Linked DNA regions of Pelodiscus sinensis. The protein of the gene in region 1 binds, or shares a complex with, the protein of each later gene. Links are inferred from orthologs where the notes say so. Each region holds a gene or a part of one and is shown in the gene's direction. Other genes may lie near its edges.

Region 1 (8,010 bases):
AAGCCGACTGAGCTTAAAAAGAAATTCTTCATAGCTGAAGTCTAGTTATTTACCTTCTTATCTCTAAGACCATGTCTAGACTACGGAGAAGATTGACATAGCATCAGTCAATCTTCTGGCATTCAATTTAGCAGGTCTAGTAAAGACCCACTAAATCAAACACTGAGGGTGCAACCGTCGATGCTGGAACTCCTACTCCTCGTGAGGACAAGGGAAGTCAACAGGAGCATTTCTCCTGTCAACCTCCCACTGTGAGGATGGTGCAAAAACTCGGCTTAAGGTACGTCAACTCCAGTTACGTTTTTTACACAGTTGGAAATGTGTACCTTACGCTGACCTTTGGCTGTTGTGTAGCCTTGGCCTAAGGTTTGCATGGGGAACGGTCTCACAGACACACACACCTCTCTTACGTGAGGATGAGGGTGGCCAACCAACCTGGCCCATGGAGATGGGCGACCAACCTGACCCAACCCTCCCTGCCTAGTGCTCTCTTCCTGGGACCTTCAGATGGACCCATCTCGTCTGGTACCATGTCGTCTCGAGGCAACAAGCGGCAGGGTCACAGCCCATCCTCCCCAGAGATCTGTGAGGGGTCCACCCCAGAACATGGCCAGCAGCAGCCTCTTGGTACTGTGCAGAAGGGAAGCACTTCCAGCCACAGCGGGGTAGGGATGACATGGCCCGCGGCTTTGCAGAGGTTATCTCTATCCTTGCTCCTCCCACTCCTCTGTGGCTAGAAGCAGCTTGTAGAAAAGCTACTTTCTGCCTGTAGAACAGCAGCTAACCCCTCCAGGATGCTGCTGGCCACCGACTCAACGCAGCCACCTCTTGCTCCTTGGCTACAGCGTGGGCAGGAAGGGGTTAAGCCCTAAGGCTGTATTGTGCACAGGGGAGGGGGACAATTCCCCAGGCCAGTGCTGGGTGGGGCTTTGGTACATGGAGGACTTGGCTCCTCCTGGCCGGCATCCTGGGCCAGAGGGTCCCTCCATGGCTTCCGTCCCAGCCAAAGGCAGCGGGGGGACAGAGCCAGCCAGCTAGGCTGTTGGTGAGATGAATGATCGGACCAGGGGCTGGTTCTTCGCACAGCACCGGGTCCAGGATGCACCTCACGGGGCAGGGTGGGGGGAGATGGAGGAGCAGTAGGGCTGAGGGGATGAAAGGCCCAGCAGGGAGAGGACAGTGAGGCAACCGGCCAGCCATGGTCAGCCCGCTCACCAGCCACTGAAGCAAGTTGCTAGTTCCGGCTGGAAACAAGGCAATGGGATGTGGGAGGGGCTGCTGGCCAAGAGGAAACACAGCAGCAGGGACTGTCCTGGTGGACCAGAAGGGGAAGCAGCTGGTCCCATATGCTGCAGCTGTGCCCAACCCCCACCGCCCACTGGATTCCCGCCCCCCCACTCACTGCTGGTGAGTGGGCAGCAGGCGAGCAAGGATCTGGCCAGCTGTAGGACCCGCCTGCACTGATAGCAGAGGGGAGATAGAAAATACGGGGACAATTTGCCCATTGTAGGGACACTTGCAGGAGGACTTAGATACCGGACTGTCCCTTTAAAAACAGGCCATCTGGCCACCCTAAGGGAAGGGAGCCGGTAACTTCACAATTGTTCTTGCACTTGATGCCGTCTAGCACACACTTAGCAATGGGCAAGGCCAAGCCAGCCTTCCTTTGGGTTTCATGCCTTGGTATTTATTTGCATGCAAGGCTTTTCCTGCTGTGTTCATTTTCACACACTTAGAGATGAGCTTTAATGCAGTTTCAGTTTTCTTTTCTGGCTTTGAACTGGCCTTGGCTGGGAAGGCGCTTGGCTGTGTAAGAAGAGGCCTGCTTCCAGAAATAGGCCAGAGGCTGAGAGCTCGGCCAATACAGAACAACAGTAGGAATTGATGAATAATGCCCAGGGCGCACTCCTCAGAGAGAAAGGGCTCTTTGGAGTCGCCCCCATAAACATGTGGGGGCAACAGATTCAGTGGGGCCTGCAAAGCCTGCCCTGACAAGCCCGGTTTGGTCATGAGAAAAGATACTGGCCACTCTATGATGACCAAAGTGCCGCACACGGCTGGACTCGGTCATGTGCCCAGTGGGCAAGTTCCCGCATCAGGCACCACCCTCAACGTGAGCCTTTATTGACTTGGTTCTTGGCTGCCTCAGCAAGGGCCTGCGTGAGGCGTGCGCAGCCGGTTCCCTCGCACACGGCCCCTGCACTTTATTATAGGCCCTGCCTGCCTGGGTGGCGCGTGCTACCTGAGGTGCGTCTCCAAGCTGTGGATTGCACATGGCGGTTTCCACCCTGCCCCCCTCCAGCCCAGTGGGGCCCCTGAGAGAAGAGGAGGCGGCTGCCGCAGGTGCTTGTGGTGAGGGTGCCTCAGGTACCCCCTCCCCCACGCTGCCATGCTGGGAGCTCTTGGTGCCGCTATGGGAGCAGCCGCCACAACCCCACATGGGCATTGCCGGTGCCCTGGGCCTGGTGTGGGGCTGCTGGTACCCCAGGCTGCGGCGTCCCATTCGAACTAGGCCCCGCAAATAATCACACCAGCTCTGGCCTCAGCAAAGAGGCCAAGGCCTGAGCCACATCGCCTGTCGCTCGCAAGGGTGATTCCTCCCCTTCGGGGCCGAGGCACATCAGGCTCAGAAGCATCTTTCCCTTGGGCAGCTTATTCCCCAGACAGGCCAAAGAGTTTCTTGAACCTTCCTTTGCTTGCCTGCACTGGTCACTGTCAGGAGCCCAGACGACAGGGGCCCATCCAACATCGGGGTTCAATAGCTCCGTGGTTTGCGTATTGGCCTGCTAAACCCAGGGCTGTGAGCTCAATCCTTGAGAGGGGCCATTTGGGGCAAATCTGTCAGGGATGGTACTTGGTCGTGCCGTGAGGGCAGGGGACTGGACTCGATGACCTCTCAAGGTCCCTTCCAGCTCTGAGATAGGTCTATCTCCATAATATGGCACCCTGATTGGTGAAGTTGGCACTGCCCTGGTCTGTGCTTCATCTCCTCTAGCAGTGACGACGGCTGCCAGGCATGTCTCACCACGTGCCTTGAAATGTAGAGTCCTGGGCTCACGCCCCCAACGAAGCCCCATCCACCTTGCCAGCCCCTGTGGAATCTCCATTGCAGCTCCTGGGCAGCAGAGGCACGGATGGAGAAACAATGAATCACTAATGGATGAGCTCATGTCTAGTGCTTCTCCGCCTGAGCCACCCCACCCTTTGGCCTGAGCAGAGCAGGCAAGTGGCAATGGCGCCTGGCTGCAACATTGTACGACCCCCATTTGCCAGGTTCTGGCAGCCGGTGGAGTACAGTACAGTCCACAATGAATATTCCTTACTCCTCATCTCGTTAACCCGCTGGCAGCCGTGCAATTTTTCAGTGGGTCACCTCAGCACATACACAACTATATGGAAAAACTAATTCCTTTCTTTGGCGACTTCTATTCAGGAAATACGGTCAGAGCTGGAGTTGTGGGGCTGGAGAACCACACGGTTTACGGTAAATTCTCTCTCCTGGTAGGTGGATCAAGGTACCAAACAACTAGGAGTTTTGCACGCTTTCCATTCCTGTCGCCTGGAAAGGTGGCCTTGCAAAACTGCTAGTTGTTTGGCACCTTTCCTAGTTTCCTGTATTTCCCGATCTCCTCGGGGAGGAGGAAATAAAGCAGCAACACTCCTTGCATGCATTTGAGGCCCCCTGACATTTTGCAGAAGCACTGGCACAAGGATTTCTTTTAGCATTTACAAGCTGCTAAAGAAAAACGCAGCAAATGCAGCAGGGACTAGCTGTAGGTCGTACTGTGTGTTACGCATCAGGCCATGTCCTCTGGTGGTGTAAATTGCATGGGTCCCATTGACTTTACTAGACTGACAGTGATTTACACCGAGTCTCTGGTCTGCTGCCTGCATACAGCCATGCAAAGCAGTCTCCCTCCGAGGTTCAGCAAGGAACTGCTGCCTTCGCACATACAGCCTTTGGCTCTTGTTTACAATGTTCTCAGCAGAGTGGGAAGTGGCCACAATTTCGCTAATGCTTGCATGTAATTCTTTTGCACATGGCTCCCTGAATTGTCCTGCGGCTGGTGCCAATGGGGAACACGTACAAATATAAAACAAACAAGCAACTCTCCCCCCATGCACTGGAGGCCTGATCCCTGCCTGGATGGAATAATGCCCTCAGGAAAAACCTGGCTTCTGAGAAGTGAATCCCGAGGCTTTTGCCTTTGTTCACTCCAGATTTGGACCCCACTGGCCATGTTCCCTGTAAGATGAGAGCTCGGGCGGGCGCCCAGGAGAGATTCAAATGCCGTCCCTCTGATTAGCAGAGCACCCACAGCCAGCAGTGTGTTTCTATTGGTGGTGCACATCTGCCCCATGTTGCACAGATGTGCACCACCAGTAGAACCGCACGCTGCTGGCTGTGGGTGCTCTGCTAAAAGGCACTTTGGTGCATATAGCAAAATTTATTCTGCACATTGATGGAAAAAATTAGCTGGAACATTTCTCCATTCTCTGATGTCACTGGGCAGTCACAGATGAAGGCCCTCAGGGTTAGACGGCACTCCCCAGCTCCTCTGCTGCTGTAACCCAGTGGGCGCCCCCATGCTTCGCACAACCTGCAGTGGGTGCCAGATGTACCCTGACAATCTCTTTGAAGTGACGTGGGATTAATTTCTGCCACAATGGGAATGCAATCAAGCTCTCTACAGCCCAGCCCCAAGCCTTGCCGCTTACTATAGGGCTAGTGCAGCGTGTTGGCCTGTCCCGGCGGCTTAGCCCCGTGTGTGTCTAGAGTCAATAATGTTTTCTGTAACGCCCCACTTCGTGATGCAGCTTTTCTGATGGTAAATCAGAAGACAGGTGCAAGGAGGCACGCCCAAGTCGATGATGAAGGGCAGGTTTTGGAGGTGAGCAGTGGGGTGTCCTCTACGATTAGTGACACTGTATAACTCTCTTTAAAAAAAAAATAGGGATTTCCTAACTTGTGGTCAGTTCCGAAAGAAAAGGAGAAGTGTCCCAGAGACGGCAGCAGGGAACGGTTATAGACGACTCAGCAGCACGTTCCAGTCCAGTCTTCTCCATCCTGCTCAAGAGGATCTATTGCGCTGAAGTGCTTTGTTCCTTTCCCCTGGATCGCAGCCCACCTGACCAGGGCAGGAGGGTACCTTCAGCCCAAGATGGACCCTGGCATCCTGGTGCTTCTGGTTGCAGCTGGCATCTGGCATGGTAGGTCAGAGAGCACCCACTCCCTTGAGCCAATGTGGGCTGGAAAGCGGTGGCGTATCGGGTGCCTAGTGAGAGATTTGCCAGTTGGCTGGACTTACCGCACAACCCAGACGTGATTGTGCAGAGTAGGAAGAATGCCTCGCTCCTCGTTGGGTGTTGGCGCCATTCCTTCTTGAACAAACGCCCCCATTCAAGTAACTCGGCCGGATTTTTAAAGGAGTGTAGAAACGGAAAGAGGCAGCTAGGCACCGAGCGGGATTTAGAAAAGCACTCAAACTTCGAACATCAGGAACGCCTTGAAAAATCAGGCCCAGGGAACTCTGCCTGAGTTGGGGGGGGGAAGGCGGGGGGAATGAAAACACAGCAAGGAGCTCCAGGTTGGACCCAAAGAACGCATGGCCCAGCTCTCAAAAGGGAGAGCGGAGCTCATGCTCACCTCTCCTGCAAACCAAGAGGGGCGGGGGGGGGGGGAGGGGAGCATTAAAGTCCTTAATTCTGCAGACCATTGCAAGGGACAGCTGCTGCGATTGTGGGGGCGTTAATAGGGCACAGACAGAATCGGTAAGGGGTGGTCTGCCTGGCAGGCGCGCTAAGGGACACAAGCAAATGACTGCGCCCTAAGTGCAACATACCAGCATTAGCAGGGAGGTACAAGAGAATTTGAGTATCCTGAGGCCAGATTAATAAAGCTCGTTAGGGGCCTAAAGATGCCCTAGGACAGAGCAGGGTTAAACTGTGGCTTGTTCTATTAGTAATGCCTGTGTTGTTGTTTTGGACATATAAAGCCCATAGATATGCTAAGTGTTGTTGGATGAATCTGGACAAGACTTGGGGGGGAGGGTTCCCCGCTCTTGGCTGTGTAAAAAGCAGGATCCTGCTACGAGGAAGTGGGACACCCAGCAGAATAACCTGCCCGGATTCCTGCAGACGCGCTGTAACCGACGCAGCGGCTAGAGCTATGCTGTGTCAAATTGCGTGAGAGTAGACGCTCTCGTGCCTAGTGATTCGATGTTCCCACCTCCAGCGCTCCAGGACCACGTTTCTCGCTGCATTATAATCTGTTCCCACAGCAGCAGTGTTCTTTGTTCATTGTTCATTGTTCTTTTATGTCATTTTTGTCCTTTTTTCTGTCTTGTGCCAAGTGGGATCCAGTCACAGATTTGTCTAGGGATACTAGGTTTTTAATACCCTACTGCAGGGGTCTCCAACCTTTTTCAGCACGGGCTCACTTTTCAAATTGAAGTGCAATCCACGGTCGACCTCAAACCCAAATACTCTTGTCCCGCCTCCTTTGCGCCCCTTCTTCAAGGCCCCGCCCCTGCTCACTTCATCCTCCCTCCCTTTCACCAGGCTGGGGCAGAGGGCTGGGGTGTGTCTTAAGGGATTTGGCATGTAAGAGGGGCTCTAAGCTGAGCTAGGGGCAGGCAGTTGGGGTGCCGGAAGGGGTTCTAGGTTCAGGCTCTGGGTGTTTGGATGCAGGGCTGCTTGGGTCTAGGGCAGGACCTGGGGTTCAGCATGGGGTAGGGTTTTGGGATGTGGGCACCAGCTGGGCCCTGCTGACCTCAGGTGGCTCCTGGGTGGTGGTGCAGTGGAGCTAAGGCATGCTTACCCCGTCCTGGCCCAGCACCACTCCCAAAAATAGCTAGCAAACTCCATGACCAGTCCTGCTGTGCCCCCTCTCCGCTCTGTGGAGATAGGATACAGGGTGGGAGAGGGGGCACCTTGACATCAGCACCCTCCTGTCCCTCCCCTGCCCTGCTCAACAAGCAGGAGGTTTCTGGGGGTCAGCTCCAAGACAAAGGGCAGGAGATGCACAGCAGTCAGGGGCGGGGGGGAGCAGCTGAAGTGCTGGGCTGGATAACCTCTTGACCAAACCAGTCAGGATCACCTGTCAGAGGCTCCAAGACCTACCAGTCGATCCCAATCGACTGGTTGGTGACCCCTGCCTGCTGTCTGCCCAAGCCACTTCAGCCTTCTTTCTGAAGTCATTGGGAATGCTGGCAGATAAGGGATGGGCCAAGAGTATTGTTAAGCCTTTCAAAGGAAGTACAAACTCAGGCACTGTGGATGGGATACAGAAGAGTCTAGTCCGCCTGTTCTGATGTGGACGGTCCGCCTGTTCCCTGTTATTGTGTCGTCAATCCTCCAAGAGACACAAGCAGGATTCTCCAGCCCAGATTGGACATTTGCAAAAGAAGCTCTCTGGCAGCGGACAGTTTTCTGCATTTCACGCAATGGTGACATTGTGGGAGAGTCCCTTCCCCTGCTATGCCCACTGCCTGAAGGAACTGTGCTGTTTCTCCACGGAACTGAGTGTCATGTCGACAGGAGCAACCAAACCTGGGAGCTCGGGAGCTTAGTGCATGAGCCTCTCTGACCGGAGTTAAAAACCAGCTGGCTCTCAGTTAGGGCTGTAGAGAGCAAACTCATTCTCTCTCTCTGGAAGTGGTCTCAGTGCCGCTACCTGGGACAGTCAACCACCACACCCAGCCAGTGTGCAGGTTACATGAGCAGCTGGGACTGTCCCAGGGGGAGACAGGAATGGCTGGGAACTCTGGGCAGGGTGGGATCTTGGGATAACGTGGACTAGGCAGTTACTGGGGAAACATCAGGTTGCCTGGAGCCCAGTGAACTCTGTCAGGATCCCCACTTGAAGCACAGACATGTTCACAATATAGATCCCCATCCGGTGGAACTATCTCATTAGGATTGCTGGTTGTTTCCCACCGGAGTTGTCCCATGATGTTTCTGACAGCTGCATTTACCACACTCATTCAGAATTCCCCTAGGACCACGAAT
Region 2 (7,684 bases), on another chromosome or scaffold:
GTGCATCTGGCAGTGGCCACTGTTGACAGACAAGACACTGGTCTGGATGGACCTTTGGTCTAACCTAGTCTGGCTGTTCTTATGAACTATCATATCAGTATGCCAGAGGATATTATAAACAGACACGTTAATTTACCCAAGTTAAAGTTACTCCTCAGATCTTTATAAAGTCTGCTGTCATGTTCAAGATCCAGTTTCAGAGCTCTCTCCTGACTCTGGCCTCAGCTTTCGCAGAGCATATGGTTTATGGGAAATCTGGGACAGTACTGTTAGTTTCAACCACTTATAGACTCATAGACTCATAAGGCTGTGTCTAGACTGGCAAGTTTTTCCGCAAAATCATCTGCTTTTGTGGAAAAACTTGCCAGCTGTCTACACTGGCCGCTTGAATTTCTGCAAGAACACTGACAATCTCATGTAAGATCGTCCGTGTTCTTGCGGAAATACTGTGCTGCTCCTGTTCGGGCAAAATCCCTCTTGTGCAAATCATTTGCGCAAGAGGGCCAGTGTAAACAGCACAGGACTGTTTTGGGCAAAAAAGTCCCGATGGCTAAAATGGCGATCGGGGCTTCTTTGCGCAAAAGCGCATCTAGATTGACACGGATGCTTTTCCGCAAAAAGTGCTTTTGTGGAAAAGCGTCTGTGCCAATCTAGATGCTCTTTTCCGAAAATGCTTTTAACGGAAAACTTTTCCGTTAAAAGCATTTCTGGAAAATCATGCCAGTGTAGACGTAGCCTATATAGACTTCAAGGTCAGAAGGGACCAGTATGATCATCTAGTCTGACCCCCTACACAGTGAAGGCCACAGAATCTCACCCACCCACCCACCCACTCCTGGAATAATCTTCTCACCTATATCTCAGATATTGAAGCCTTCAAATACTTTGAAGACCCCAAGATACAGAGACTCCTCCAGCTGTGATCTGTGCCCCATGCTACAGAGGAAGGTGAAAAACCTCCAGGACCTCTGCCAATCTACACTTCAGAAAGTTAACTAATAAAGTCAGTTTCATTTTTATGGCCCATTTCACTTCTGATATTTGTGACTGTGCTACAAGTCAGTGACAAGATTTGCTTCCTTACAAACAGCTGTTTCCAACAAGCTTTTAAAAAACCAATGAAGGGAGGTGGTTTCTATTTTTCTTAAAACCACCTATGTGTTAAACCAGATTGGCTCTGGCAAGTGACAATGTTCCTCTGCTGCTCAGCTGGTCCTTTGCTTGAGAACAATAGCCATAGGTTTATGTGCTCTTTATGCATTTTGTCATAGATACATGCTCACAGTTCCACACATTTCCTACACACATGCCAATCGGGACACATGCACTCCCAGCCCCACACTGCAGACATGATCATTTCCATGCCCACTGTGTGTGCGCACGCTGTGACATAGTGGAGGTGCTGTCTGCTCTGTAACCCGGGGTTCCCCCATGCTGTGATGTGTGGAGGATGTCCTGGCTTTCTGGGAAAGGCTCGCTGAGGACATGGGCCCGGCCAGAGAGACCATGGGCAGAGTCCAAGAGAAGTGGAAGGGCTGGTCCGACCACAAAGAGTGGGCCCGCGCCGGCCCCCTCAAAGCTGTGCAGCAGCCAAATGGGGGGGAGCCGGCTCCCGCAGGGCACTGCCGTGGCCGGCCCAAGCCAAGGGAAGGTCCAATATCACTGCTGCGGCTTTACCTGGCAGGAGGCCCGAACTTCCCCAGGTCATAAGCAGAGTAATACTCAGTTCGCTCTCGGAGGGGGGAGAGATGTGACATAGTGGGGGGCTGTCTGCTCTGTAACCAGAGGTTCCTCCACACTGTGATGTGTGATTCCCACTGACTCACCCAAATGAGGATTGGTCCAGACACCTAGTCCCAGCCTGAGCAGATAACAAGGCTCTTCCCAGGGGGAGAGACAAAGGAGGGGAGGCGGAGACGGCCACCTGGCTGGGGGGCAGAGCCTGGGAGCTAGTCAGTCTTGTCTGGAAAAACATGGAGAGAAGGGACTAAGCTGAGTACTGGGAGTTGAGAGGGGCAGTGGACCCCTACCCCAGGGGGTCTGAGGCTGCCTGGCCCTGACTCTTGTAACCACATCACATCTATGTTGTGCAGTATCCTGGAGAAGCAATAAACGCTCACTATTCTACTGGCTGGCAGTCTCATCTTGCTGCTACGAGGGTGCAGGATCGGGGGGATCCCCAACATGCCGTCACAGACACACACACACACACGTACTCATATGCACACATCTCACACAGACACATTCCGATTCACACTCGTGCCAGTGCATTATTTTTTGACTGAAACGAACACATGCTCACTGAGGCCTTTTCTATACTTTCAGGCTTCTACTTAGCAAGTCTAATAAGGACCCACTAGATTGAATGTTGGGGGTGCCCCTGTTGATCCCAGTACTCCTCGGAGTCATGGGGAATAAGGGATGTTGATGGGAGAGTTTCTCCCATCAACCTGCAACAGGGCTGCCCCAGAAATGTAAGGTATTTCAACTCCAGCTACACAATTCTCATTGTTGGAGTTGTGCATCTCAAGTCGAACTTCTGGCATAGTGTAGATCTGTCCTGAGGATACATCTACATGGCAAAAAAACCCGAACTCCAGCAAGGAGTCTCAGAGCCTGAGTCAACTATCACAGGCTATGGGGCTACTGATAACAGTGCAGATTTTCCTGCTCAGGGTGATCCCTGCCCACTCTCTGAAACATGGCAAGGTGTAGGTCAGGGTTACTCAACACGCCGCCAGCAGGTGGGATCCTTTGAACATGGCTTCTGCTGGGAAGTCAATATAATGGCCTTTTGTTGAGCTGTGTTTAGTTGTTCAATTCCTGCACTGTCATTACTCATTAAAAGTGCTGTCATATGGGTGGAAATAGTGTAAATGTTGCATTTTATGAATATCAGCAGAATGACTTAAATGGGGCCTGCGTGTTGTGTGCTCTTTGTATTCATGCCCATCTGTGTGAAAGAAGCTATTTGCATATATTTGCATACATATTTGCATGTACATGCAACCACACTTAAGTTGTGACCTTCGGCAAGTGCTGAGAGTATCATCCTGGCTCCCGGGGTTTCCAAAGTTGAGTAGCCCTGGCATAGGTGGTCTCAGAACCTGCTGTTTTTTAGCCCTGTAGTCTGAGTCTGCATTAAGTTACCTGAGTGCTGTGGTTCTCGGCTGCACATTTTTATTGTTTGCAGTGTGTCAAAGCACCCTAGGAAGAGGGCTACACTTCAAACTTTTGCTGGGGTGATGTTTTAATATTTGATACAGACCATCAGTGTAGTGTAGACACAGCTGAAACAGTGTAAATGTGCTTCCTGCAGTCCAACAGAACCTCAGAGTTATGAACACCAGAGTTGCAAACAGACCAGTTCACGATACATCTCATTTGGCAGCGGAAGTAAGCAATCAGGCAACAGCAGAGACTGGAAAAACAAACCAAAACAAACCCGCAAAAGAAAACAAATACAGCACAGTGCTGTGTTAAACACAAACTCTTTTAAAAAATAAAGGAAAAGCAGCATTTGTTTCTGCACATTAAAGATCGAAAGCTGCAGTGAGTCAACACTCACTTGTAAACTTTTGAAAGCAAACCCATATGGTTCACAGTTCCAAGCAGCCATCATTCCCGAGGAGTCTGTAACTGGGGCTCTACTGAAGAGCTTATTTCATGCGGGGAAGCAGTGTAAACCTTCCTGGGAAAGCACTTGCTTGCTGGTACAAGCTACATGTGAACTGAAAGGCTTCACCTGTCTGGCTGTAAGGGCAAACCTTTCTCAGCGCAGAGCAGGCTTAACACAAGCACCCACCTGGCATACATAGGTCCCACCACTACCCCACTGTTCTGCTGGGCCTGCCTAGGAGCTGCCTGGCAGGAGAGCAGCAGCTTCTGATGACAGTCTCCCAACACAGCAGGGGAAGGGGGCATGGAGGAACATTGGGGCCAGCAGTGTCTGTGCCTCTCCACACCACCCCCTTCCTCTGAGAAATCGGGGCACTGCAGCAGCGAGCAGTTTCTGATCTGCCTGGTCACAGCATCACTAGGCAGCCACCCCTTGCGCCTGGCGCTGCTGGGACACTTTCTAGCACAGGGGTGGGCAAGACGCGGCCCGGGGTCAGATCTGGACCGCGGCCCGTCCCACTGGTGCCAAAGGCAAGGAGCAGCCCCAGGGCTCAGTGCGGCTGTCTGCTCCATCTGCCTCTCTGTGTCGGGGGAGGGGGGAGCTTTGTGCCTTGTGAACCCCCCTCCTTTGCCTAACTCCCTCTCAGAGCCCAGGCCCTCTCCTGCACCCAGTTCCCTGCCCGAGCTCTCTTCTGCACCCACCATCCGTCCCAGACTCCCCACCCTCTCCCTAGAAAAGTGCTCCCCTCAAAACGTATTGCCCGCCCCTGCTGTAGCAGCCTGGCCCAGGCACTTCAGACGCAGCAGGGGAAGGAGTCCTGCCCGCTGCTGGCGGAGGCTGGGACCGGCAGGACACTGCTGCTAGCCCATGCGGGACAGCCCCAGGCTGGGCGCGGGGTGCGGGGGCCGGGGATGCCCGAGAAAGGTGAAGGCAGCACCAGATGCTCCTTTCGCCTTCCCCCTCTCCTCCAGCGGAAACAAAGGGCCGGCGCTGGCGGGTGGCCAAGGTGATTTCCCATAAACCACATGCTCCGAGGCAGTATAAGGGCGAGCCCAGGAGAGCAGGCAGGACAGAGCCACCTCCTCCTCCGTGCGCGGAGCCGCAGCGAAACTTCCTCCCGGCAGCCCGCGATGACTGCACAGCTCCGCGCCGCCGCCGCCGCCGCCCCCCGGCCCCGCTCCCAGGAGGTGCCAGCTCCGCGGACGGCTGTCCCCATGCGCCGGCTCGGCCCCAAGGTAGGGGCGCGCAAGGACCGCGCAGGGCGCGCGCTGAGAACTCCAGGCTGCAGCAGGACAGATGGCCCGAGGCGGGGGACGCGTCTGGCTTTTCTGCGCTCTCTAGTTGCCTGCGCTGCTGCTTCCCCCCACCGCGCCGCACCCTTCGCTGCTGCGCGCCTGTCCCGCGGCGCCTCCTGCCCTTTGCCGAGCGCCCTAGCGCAGCTGGGATGCGCGAAGAGCGTGGGGCGCCTGGCTCCGGTCTGCCAGGGATGGGGACCCCTAACTCCCTTGGGAGTCCGCTCCCGGCGTGTGTCGGGGCTGAGCCCGTTGGGTGCTTCCCGGGCTGGAAGGCTTGGCCCCAGCGTGGTTGTTTAGGGCTGGAGTGAGAGCGAAGGAGCAAAGTGAGCAGCTCTCTGCCTGCGCCGGACACTCCTTCTTTCTGCCCCTTGCTTGCTCCCCTCGGCTGGGCTCTGCCTTTGGATGGAGGCAACTGGCTGCGTGTCAGGTCTGGCCGGCAGGCGCTTTCTTGCCAAAAGTGTTGACAGCACAGGGACTGCAAGAGAGGTGGAGACCGACGTTCCTCTCGGCCTTGTTTTGCACCGCGTAGCCAGGGACTGAGCCAAGAGAGCGGCTCCAGGCGGGGGCATGGCAAGGAGCTTTGGGTTGGTTTGGAGAGAGCCCGGCGAGCCGTGGTTGGCCCCTTCCCGTCGGAAGTTTGCAGGGGATCCCCTCGCCTGTTGGAGCAGAGCGCAGAGCAGGGAACCAAGTCCAGCTAATCAGCTGTCCCAGGACACTGCTTCATCAAAGGATCCAGATAGACCAATATGCTAAGATCTAGGAGGGTAGATCGGTAGCTAATGAGGTTAGTTTGTCAGTCCCCCTATCTATCCATCTAGCTATTGATCTATCCCTATAGATAACATCTATCTGTTCTCCTAGGTCTTAATATTCTGGTCAAGCTAACTGACTAGATCAGTGTATTAAGGTCTAGGAGGGTGGGTAAGTAGTTAGCTGGATAAATATAGATAAGATCTAGTAAGAGAGTTAGCAAGATAGATAGATAGATTGATCAGTACACTAGCTAGCTAACTTTCTTCCTAGATCTTCAGATATTGATCTAGTTTGATTGATTAATTGGGATACCAGGATCCAGGAGGATAGTTATCTTAGTATACTGATCTGTCTACCTAGGTCTTAGTTCAGATGATGGGTCTGTGTACTAAGATTCATCTATCTATTCTAATCTAATCTAATCTATCTCCATAAACCAGCTATTTATTATACTTGTATTATTTTATTATTTATTGGTACCTTGTAATTAGCCATTTAATCTATTTTCCACTCATCTAATTTCCCCATCCATTTCTACCCCATTTCAAAGGAGCCACCCTGGGGCTGCCCTGAGTTTCCCATGTAATCGTGGGTTAACTCCCCCCCCCCCCCCCGGACTCCAGCTAGAGGGTAGCAGGGTATGAAGCAGGCAGGTTTATATTCCTTCCCAGCCACTTGACTATTTTTTTAGCATTTACCTTTGTGATTCTGAGTGTTCTCATTTTCCACATAAATGTTCAATCCCTTTTGGAATCCTGCTAGGATTCTGGCCTCATGGAGAGCCTGTGGAACTCATTGCCACAAGGTAACTGCATTATGTGAAAAGGAATTTGTGGAGTTAAAGCCGAGCCCCAGCTTATACAGAGGGATATGGCTCCATGATGGGGCTTTGTGAAAGGAGGTGCAAAAGGAAGCTGAAGGCTGGGGTGCAGCTGCACGGAGGGCCAGGGAGGGGTCTTGGAAAGGGAGGACACATTTGCAGCTGGCTCTGTGCTGGATGAATTCAAGGGTGTCAGGGACTGAAGAGTCTTCCCCAGAGACAAGGCGGGGAAGGGGACCATAGGGCAGGGTGAGAGTCAAAGGGGCAGTGGGAAGGGAGTGATGGAGGAGACAAGAGGAGGGAGCAGAAGAGAAGTTGGAGTGGGAAGGGAGAGACCCCAGACTGCAAGGAGCAATGGAGGGAGCAGGAAGGCAATGAAGGGAGAAGTGTTGGAGTGGTGAAGACAGGACAAAACTGTGCCTGGTGCACTCTCGGTTGGCAGCAGCCCAAAGCAGCTTGTGCACACTTGTGTCCATCAGCAGCTTGTGTGGCCCTCAGAGAGCCAGGCTGGGGAATTCCCAGCAGGGTCTGCTCAGCTGACCACTTACCTTTCTAATAATAGCAGGCCAGGCAGTGGGAGAGGGAAAGGGCAGCAGGGGAGGGGGAGATGTGTTCCCAGACTGCAGTGGGAATGCCTGGGTGCACACTGGAAAGGATTTGTGCCCTGAGCTCCTGTTTCAGCAACCCAGTGCAGCTTGTATCTGTCCTGGGGAGTGCCACTCTGTGCTTGCCTGCCACCTCTCCTAGCTATCTCTGCCTTGCTATGGGGCAGGGACTGGCCCAAAGGTCCACACCAAAGGCTGTTGGCAGAGGAAGGCAGGGGATCACTCCTGGAGCCCGCCCTGGAGGCTGCTAGCCATTGGGGCAGCGGGGAGCCCAGGGACATGGCTTCTCGGCTGACAGCTTCTCCCTTCCTCAGGCATGCCCAGTCTCCTGCACCCTGCTGACTTTCCTCCTCCTCGCCACCTGCAGCATCCATGAAACTGAGCAGAAAGGCTACTGTGAGAATATCATCACCCAAAAGCACCTGGATAAGCTGCAGGAGTTGGTAAGTGTCACACCCAGCCTGCTGCTGGGATGGGATGTGGAACATCAGGGTGTGAGGCTGGGGCCTGCTGCTAGCCAGGTGCCCATGCTAGGTGAGTGCATGGACCGTCCAGGGGAGACCAGTGTTCACAATGGACAAGCCCCATGCCT

The links.
Region 2: the proteins of CSF1R (region 1) and CSF1 are in contact, whole or in part, in a crystal structure (PDB 3EJJ), measured with the Mus musculus proteins. The link is inferred for Pelodiscus sinensis from reciprocal best matches to the Homo sapiens genes CSF1R and CSF1. Residues at the interface, in NP_001032948.2 of Mus musculus: Arg142, Arg146, Leu149, Arg150, Lys151, Lys168, Val169, Leu170, Ser172, Asn173, Val231, Gly232, Phe233, Leu248, Ser250, Asp251, Phe252, Asp254, Asn255, Tyr257, Lys259; in NP_001107002.1 of Mus musculus: His38, His41, Met42, Gly44, Asn45, Gly46, His47, Phe87, Gln90, Asp91, Asp94, Arg98, Asp101, Glu110, Arg111, Gln113, Glu114, Leu115, Asn117.

The regions. Positions count from the first base shown.
Region 1 is NC_134727.1:34,930,402-34,938,411, reverse strand, and holds the start of CSF1R (macrophage colony-stimulating factor 1 receptor), read left to right. Parts: upstream 1-5,010; 5' UTR 5,011-5,162; coding exon 5,163-5,211; intron 5,212-8,010. UniProt on the Homo sapiens protein: Tyrosine-protein kinase that acts as a cell-surface receptor for CSF1 and IL34 and plays an essential role in the regulation of survival, proliferation and differentiation of hematopoietic precursor cells, especially mononuclear phagocytes, such as macrophages and monocytes.
Region 2 is NW_027465886.1:221,241-228,924, reverse strand, and holds the start of CSF1 (macrophage colony-stimulating factor 1), read left to right. Parts: upstream 1-4,549; 5' UTR 4,550-4,644; coding exon 4,645-4,854; intron 4,855-7,406; coding exon 7,407-7,535; intron 7,536-7,684. UniProt on the Homo sapiens protein: Cytokine that plays an essential role in the regulation of survival, proliferation and differentiation of hematopoietic precursor cells, especially mononuclear phagocytes, such as macrophages and monocytes.